2 linked regions of the Macaca fascicularis genome follow. The main gene of each other region encodes a partner of the protein of the gene in region 2 in a complex. Links are inferred from orthologs where the notes say so. Each region holds a gene or a part of one and is shown on either strand. Other genes may lie near its edges. The genes, in order: HMOX1 and POR.

Region 1 (4,450 bases), on a different chromosome or scaffold from region 2:
CAGTGTCATTTTTAAGATGATTCCATTGGATATGCTCATCTGGTCCCTCAGCATCCCCACTTAAACCACTGGCCTGAGCCTTGAGCCCACCCACACCTGCCACACCCTCCACCAGGGCTAGTCCCACCAAGCCACATACCTTGAAGCCCTCTCGGGTCACCTGGCCCTTCTGAAAGTTCCTCATGAACTCAGCATTCTCTGCCTGGGTGTGCACCTCCTTGGTGGCCTCCTTCAGGGCCTCTGACAAATCCTGGGGCATGCTGAGGAGGAAATGGGATAGGTGAACACAAAGCTGGCTGGGGGTGGGGTCCTTCCCAACTGCTGAGCTCAGGGGAGCCACCCACCTATAAGCAGGCCTCCAAGGACTCCCATTCTTATTCAGGCCACATTCCCAATCGCTTTAAGATGCAGCCTTGTGGCTGGGTGCAGTGGCTCACGCCTGTAATCCCAGCACCTGGGAGGCCAAGGTGGGCGGATCACCTGAGGTCAGGAGTTCCAGACCAGCCTGGCAAACATGGTGAAACCCCATCTCTACTAAAAATACAAAATTAGCCAGGCATGGTGGCGGATGCCTGTAATCCCGGCGATTATGCCTATAACTGCTTGAACACCGGAGGCAAATGTTGCAGTGAGCTGAGATCACACCACTGCACTCCAGCCTTGGTGACAGAGAAACTCCATCTCAAAAAAAAAAAAAAGAAAAAGAAAAAAGGCCAAGCATGGTGGCTCACACCTGTAATCCTAGCACTTTGGGAGGCCAAGGCGGACAGATCACCTGAGGTCAGGAGTTTGAGCCCAGCCTGGCCAACATTGGTGAAACCCTATCTCTACTAAAAATACAAAAAAAAAAAAAAAAAAAAAAAAAATTAGCCGGGTGTGGTGTTGGGCACCTGTAATCCCAACTACTCAGGAGGCTGAGGCAGGAGAATAGCTTGAACCCAGGAGGTGGAGGTTGCAGTGAGCCGAGATTGCACCACTGCACTCCAGCCTGGTGACAGAGCAAGACTCCATCTCAAAAAAAAAAAAAAAAGCAAAAAAAAAAAAAAAAACCCCAGAATCCACAACAACAAAAAAACAAATTCAGGCTGGGCATGGTGACTCTTGCAGCCTTGTAAACACTCTTCAGTCATTAAAACACTAGGCCAGGCCGGGCGCGGTGGCTCAAGCCTGTAATCCCAACACTTTGGGAGGCCGAGATGGGCGGACCACGAGGTCAGGAGATTGAGACCATCCTGGCTAACATGGTGAAACCCCGTCTCTACTAAAAAATACAAAAAACTAGCCGGGCGAGGTGGCGGGCACCTGTAGTCCCAGCTACTCGGGAGGCTGAGGCGGGAGAATGGCGTGAACCGTGGAGGTGGAGCTGGCAGTGAGCTGAGATCCGGCCACTGCACTCCAGCCTGGGTGACAGAGCGAGACTCAGTCTAAAAAAAAAAAAAAAAAATAGGCCGGGCGCGGTGGCTCAAGCCTGTAATCCCAGCACTTTGGGAGGCCGAGGCGGGTGGATCACGAGGTCAGGAGATCGAGACTATCCTGGCTAACATGGTGAAACCCCGTCTCTACTAAAAATACAAAAAACTAGCCGGGCGTGGTGGCGGGCGCCTGTAGTCTCAGCTACTTGGGAGGCTGAGGCGGGAGAATGGCGTGAACCCGGGAGGCGAAGCTTGCAGTGAGCCGAGATCACGCCACTGCACTCCAGCCTGGGAGACACAGCGAGACTCCGTCTCAAAAAATAAAAAATAAAAAAAAAATAAAATAAAATAAAATAAAATAAAATAAAACACTGAATAATACAGTCCCCCAAACCAAGGGGGAAATCCTGGTACCGGTAGTTCCCAGTGGAGAGGAGGAGGAGGTACAGCATAACCCAGGAAAAAGCAGAGGCCCCATGAACGCGCATCTCAAAGTTTGTAATTGTTTTGATTGGCTTTTAGACCCAATATTTAATTCAGTTATTTTGTTAAAGTTTCAGATGCAAATCTCATGACCCCCCTATCATGTTATGCTCATCATGAAGACGTCAGGGTTAAAAATTCTGAAAAATTCTGCTTTAGTTAAAGAAAAAATCTCTCCGGGAGTATTTCTGTCATGGGTCCGTATCCCTGCGTCCCCATAGAACTGTCATTTTTCCCTTTCCTCCCGCCCTGCTTCCCGGAACATCATCCCCTGTTCTACAACACAGCTGGTCCAATTCTTGGGAGAAGCGGCACACGCCTGTAAGTCCCAGTTAACTCTGGGGGCTGAGGTGGGAGGATGCTTGAGCCCAGGAGTTAAAAAAAAAAAAAAAAAAACTAAGAAATTCTTGAAAGAAGGGAACGAGCGAGACCTGGAGGTGGGCAGGCCAAGGTTCAACACCCAGTTCTGACACCTGCTGACTGAGTACTCTAGGGCGTGTCGCCTGCCTGAACTGGGCAATCCTTATTTGTGAGACGCGGAACAACGTAGCCAGGGTGATGTCTGGCTCAGGTCCTCCGTAGCTAGTGAGGGACAGATGCCACCAAGAGAACCAAGCATGCTCTCCCAGGCTAGCGGAGCCCCAGGGATCTAGATTCAGCAGACAGCAGCTCCAAGCACACCTCAAAAGTTGGATTAAAACAAAATTGACTCCCTCACAGGGAAGCCCCAGAGATCTAGATTCAGCAGAGAGCAACTCCAAACACACCTCGAAAGTTGGATTTAACAAAAACTGGCTACCTCAAAGGCTGGATACTCTAAGGACACTCCCATCTTGGTCCCCAACCGCATACCAGGGTGCCAGGCATGTAAATCACCGTTCCTCCCTCCAGCCACCCTACGGGCACAGGCAGGATCAGAACCCCGCGCCTCCTGACTCCAGGGCCCAAGTTTCTGGCTCCCGGGCTCTGTCGCTGCGTGGCAGTGTCCCGGGTGGGACTGGGAGGCCAGCTGGGAGGGGAGGGAAAGGCGCCCGTCCCGCGCCCCGCGCTTGCCTGTCGGGTTGCAGACGCTCCATCCGGCCGGTGCTGGGCTCGTTCGTGCTGGCTCCGCGGGCGGCGGCTGCTCTGAGGACGCTCGAGAGGAGGCAGGCGTTGACTGTGCCGGAGCCGCGACCGGTCACATTTATGCTCGGCGGGTCACGTGGGCCAGGCGGAACAGCTGAGGCCCACTTTCTGGCCGGGCGTTGCAACACCCGCAGGGGCCCGCGCCCAGCCCGCCCCGGGCCAGTGTGGGGTGGAGAGGAGCAGTCATATGACCCTGGGGAAACAAAGTCTGGCCATAGACTTTTAGAGAAAACACACACACACACACACACACACACACACACACCTTAAGGAAATCTGAGAAGCTGCAGCCTCTGGGTGTGATTTTGCTCCTTCCAGAGCCCCACCTTCTGCTCCCTGTCCCCTTGGGACTTGATGCACCCCAGGCATCCCAGAAGGTTCCAGAAAGCTGGGAGGCAGCGCTGCTCAGAGCAGGAGGCTGGTGGGTAACATCAGGAACTTAGCAACCCCAGACCCTGCTGTCTCCAGCTCCCTAAATTGCCACCTTCTGGAGTCCTCTGCTGACTGCTTGCCTCCTCACACCCCCTTTAAATGTACATTTAGGATCTGGTTTTTTAGTTCCTGTCAAAAAACAGAGACTCCAGTATTTTCATGGTTCATCCCTACAACTGACCTGTGGGGGTAGATCGCTCCCATTTTGCAGCTGGAGAAACTGAGGCTCAGAGGGGTGCAGTGGTGTCACACATAAAGCAGGAAGCCAGTGTCCAAACCCAGGGAGGAGACTAAGTCCCCGCCTGCCTCCTCCACACTCCGGCAGCACCTGGTGCCCGCCTGGACTGGGACACCTGTCATACAAACTGCTTCCCTGCTGGGTTGCGTGGGACACTCTTCCAGGCACATTCAGGTCTGACTTATACTCAGTGCCTGCTCAGGGCCCAGAGCAGAGCTGGCCCTTGCTGATCGCCTATTGAATCAATTCTGCATGAGGTGCACTGCTGAGAACTTGGGGAAAAGAGGGTCATTGGGTGAACCCAGAGGACAAAACAAATGGACCAGATGATTCATAGATTTCATAGAGTCATTTCCCAATGCTATGATTCTCATTCTAATGTTTTTTTGTTTTTTATAAGATGGCTTTCAGGCCTGGCATGGTAGCTCACACCTGTAGTCCCAGCACTTTGGGAGGTTGAGGTGGGAAGATTGCTTTGAGCCCAGTTGAGGTAGGAAGATTGTTTTGAGTTCGAGACTGGCCTGGGCAACATAGGGAGACCCTGTCTCTATAAAATAGAAAATAAAGGCCAGGCGCGGTGGCTCAAGCCTGTAATCCCAGCACTTTGGGAGGCCGAGGCGGGCGGATCACAAGGTCAGGAGATCGAGACCACAGTGAAACCCCGTCTCTACTAAAAATACAAAAAATTAGCCGGGCGCGGTGGCGGGCGCCTGTAGTCCTAGCTACTCAGGAGGCTGAGGCAGGAGAATGGCGTGAACCC
Region 2 (3,804 bases):
TGTCAGCACCAGCCCGGGATGGTCCTGGGGTGCAAGCTAAGGCTGCAGCTGGGACTGGGTCCCCTGCAGGCAGACAGAATGAAAGGGGTTCTGGTCTGAGAATGGCTCCCAATCCTGCGCCTGAAGACCTGCCCCTTGCCAAATCCAGGGAGTCCCTGAATGCAGCAGGCCCGTGCCCCTGGAGTTCCCTCAGCCCAGACCTGACCTGGCAGGACCCCACTCAAACCTGGCCGCGGGCCTCTGCAGTCTGAGATTGGTGTTAAACACAGCCAAGCGTAACCACAGGAAGTGATTGTGGCTGCAGGACCCTAAAGTCTGGAGAATGACTTTTCCGTGTGGCTTATGGAAATCAATCTTGGAGACACAGGGATGCAGTCACTTAGGCAGACCTTCGGTATCATTTTTTCCTATCGACATACCATCTGTATTATTATTTCCTTAACGTTTTTCTTTTAACGAATCCATCTTTTTCACTTATTCTTAAAAGGAAGCTTCATGAAAAGTTTAAAAGAGCAACAAAATAAGGCCTGTCCAGAGATTTTGTGCTCATTAGCACACAGCGTTCCAGGTGGCTATAGCCTTAAAAGACTTTAAAATGTCAATTCTAGGTTGGGTACTGTGGCTCATGCCTGTAATCCCAACACTTTGGGAGACCGAGGTGTGCGGATCGCTTGAGTCCAGGAGTTCGAGACCAGCCTGGGCAACACGGTGACTCCCTGTCTCTATAAAAAAAAATATAAAACTTGACTGGGCGTGGCGGCTCACACCTGTAATCCCAGTTACTCAGGCAGCTGAGGCAAGAGAATCACTTGAACCCAGGGAGGCAGAGGTTGCAGTGAGCTGAGATCACACCACTGAACTCCAGACTGGATGACAGAACAAGACTCCGCCTCAAAAAATAAAAAATAAAAAATAATTAGCTGGGCACAGTGATGCACACCTTTAGTCCCTGCTACTTGGGGGGCTGAGGTGGGAAGATTGCCTGAGCCTGGGAGGTGGAGACTGCAGTGAACCTTGATCATGCCACTGCCATTGCACTGGGCAATACAGTGAGACCATGTCTCCAAATAAATAAATAAAAGGGAAAAAAGGGTTCCAGCTCTAGTGCTGCTATTGCTGGCTCATGACCTTGGCAGGCCCGTTAACACCCTTGAGCCCGAGGTTCTTAATCTGAAAACTGGTGTCATTTTCGGAATGCTTCCTCTGAAGGTCAAATAAACAGCAGATAGAAAAGGGCCTTATATAAACCCCACATAGGAGATGATTAAGGGAGAGCTGAAGCACAATCTAGCAAGAAGGCAAAACCCAAGAGTCGCCCCAAAATGCTACAAGGAACCTTGCTTCTTTCAGCCTGAGGCCCGTGGGCAGGACACTGCTCGGAGTGGTGACAGAAGAGGGACAGAGAGAGGAGGCTGAGAGGTGGCACTTACAATGTCTGAATTTTGGTGAACTCAGGGACTTCCTCTTTTTTCTTTCTAAAGAGGAACCAGTAGGTTAGGAGGCCCACGATGACTGAAAACAGAATCACGTCCGTCATGCTGAAAAGAGATACTTCTTCGGCCACCGCCTCGGACACGGTGGAGCTGGTGTCCACGTGGGAGTCCCCCATGTTGATCATGAAACTGTTAGGAGACAGAAACAGCAGACGTCAGCACCGGGGAGCAGGATGCCCCTGAGGCTGGCTGGGGTGCCCACCTGAATGCTGGGCCTCATGCCCCTGGGGCTGCAGAAAATGGTCACTGCACTGGGTAGGAGGAGCGGCTCACCAAGCCAGGTTCCTGCCAAGACAGCCACAGCCTTGGACTGAGGCTGACACAACAGACGGCCCCCAGTGGTGTCAGCACCAGCCCAGCGTGGTCCTGGGGTGCAAGCTAAGGCTGCCGCTGGGACTGAGTCCCCGGTAGACAGACAGAATGATAGCCACTGACTCAGTGTGCTGGAACTTCCTCCAATCCCACAAGGACACTGCACGGTGGCAGGAGGGAGTCCACGCGAGACAGGACCACTTTGCAGCAAACCCTTTCCCCAACTGTGTGGCTGGCTGGGGTTGTCCTAAATCCTGCGTGCTCCAAAAGTCTCCAGGCCTGGCCCTTGAGTGGTTCCTGATATTCACGAGCCTTGGACTATCCTGCCTGGCAAGAGTGTCTCTGTGTTCCTAAGACCTTGGGCTATGAAGACAGTTCCTGTTAACAATGAGATGTCTGGTGAATGCCCGCTTTCCTATGCCTGGGTGTCTTTTTTTGTTTGTCTTTTTTAAGAGACAGAGTCTTGCTCTGTTACCCAGGCTGGAGTGCAGTGGTGCAACCACAGCTCACAGCCTCAAACTCCTGGGCTCAAGTGATCCTCTCAGCCTTCCAAGTAGAACTTCTATGATTACTGGGGTGTGCCACTGCATTCATTTTTAATTTTTTTTCCTACTGACAGGGGCTTGCTATATCTCAAACTCCTGGGCTCAAGTGGTTCCCCTGGTTTGGCCTCCCAAAGCACTGGGATTACAGGCATGAGGCCCTGTGCCTGGGGTTTCGAATCGTGCTGTATCGGTCCGATGTCTGTGGGTACTGGAGATGGAATAAGCAAGCCTTCGGACCCAGACGCTCCACGCCTACACAACTGACCCACCAATAAAAACCCCGGAAACCTTGGCTTGGGTGACCTTCCGTAGGTGTCAGTTCTTCACAGGTGCTCTCACACATCGTTGCTGGGAGAATTAAGTGTGACCAGCAATGATGGAAACTCGTGTGTGACCACCTGGACACTCACGCCTGGCCTCTCCTGGACTCTGCCTTATGTGCCCTTGACCTTTCCTGATTTTAATTTGCATCATTTTGCTGTAATAAACTGTCATCGTAGGCAAAAAGCTTTCCTGAGTTCCGTGAGTCCTGGTGAATCACTGAATCAGAGGCAGTCTTGGGGAACCCCCATGTCACCAGCCTAGTTCCCTCGAAAGATGCTCAACTGGTCTTTCCACCACCGACACCTGATAGGCAGATCTGACATGAGTCAACAAAGGTCCAAGTGAGAGTCCCTGAAACAGCAGCTTCGGCTGCTTACCGAGGAGGCTGGGTTCAGCCCTGAAGTTCACATCATTCCATTTTGCAATCACGGAGATGACCGACTGGGTTTCTTTCACCACAAGCAGAGCACCCAGACTTAATCAGGAAAGCCTGAGTCATGTGTCAGCAATTAGGCAATGAAAGACCATGTTCTAGCTGACTGCCAATGGCTGTCACTGTCACCAGGAAACCACAGGGCTGGTCTGCGAAGCTAGGGCATCCGAGGGTTGTGGGCATCAGTCTACCCCTACACAACCTGCTGGGAACAGGCCATTCAGGACAGGCCCGTGAGCTTGGGTCTTTGCTTTCTCACTAATCTGAGATGCTTTTCCAATGGTTTGAGCTCATCTCAATTTAGCTTTTTTCTTTCTTTTTTATTTTATTTTTTTGAGATACAGTCTCTCTCTGTCGCCCTGGCTGGAGTGCAATGGCGCCATCTCAACTCACGGCAACCTCCACCTCCCGGGTTCAAGCGATTCTCTTGCCTCAGCCTCCAGAGTACCTGGGACTACAGGTGCCCGCCAACACTCCTGGGCTGATTTTGTATTTTTAGTAGAGACGGGGTTTCACTATGTCAGCCAGGCTGGTCTCGAACTCCTGACCTCAGGTCATCCACCCACCTCGGCCTCCCAAAGTGCTGGGATTACAGGCGTGAGCCACTGTGCCTGGCCTCAATTTGGCTTTTTTGATATGACTTTTTTTTTTGGCGGGGGGGGGAACAGAGCCTCGCTTTGTCACCCAGGCTGGAGTG

What was found.
Region 1: the proteins of POR (region 2) and HMOX1 are in contact, whole or in part, in a crystal structure (PDB 3WKT), measured with the Rattus norvegicus proteins. The link is inferred for Macaca fascicularis from reciprocal best matches to the Homo sapiens genes POR and HMOX1. Residues at the interface, in NP_113764.1 of Rattus norvegicus: Thr88, Thr177, Asp208, Asp209, Arg313, Arg514, Lys515, Gln517, Arg519, Leu520, Phe522, Lys523, His626, Lys665, Met667, Thr668, Lys669, Gly670, Tyr672; in NP_036712.1 of Rattus norvegicus: Asp12, Ser14, Glu15, Gln38, Ala75, Pro76, Glu81, Lys149, Ile150, Lys153, Ser171, Asp173, Asn174, Thr176, Lys177, Phe178, Lys179, Gln180, Leu181, Arg183, Ala184, Arg185, Asn187, Thr188.

The regions. Positions count from the first base shown.
Region 1 is NC_088384.1:16,285,369-16,289,818, forward strand, and holds the start of HMOX1 (heme oxygenase 1), read right to left. Parts: upstream 3,054-4,450; 5' UTR 2,972-3,053; coding exon 2,949-2,971; exon of another isoform or gene 2,748-2,948; intron 261-2,747; coding exon 140-260; intron 1-139.
Region 2 is NC_088377.1:51,678,676-51,682,479, forward strand, and holds part of POR (NADPH--cytochrome P450 reductase), read right to left. Parts: intron 1,623-3,804; 5' UTR 1,619-1,622; coding exon 1,431-1,618; intron 1-1,430. UniProt on the Homo sapiens protein: This enzyme is required for electron transfer from NADP to cytochrome P450 in microsomes. It can also provide electron transfer to heme oxygenase and cytochrome B5.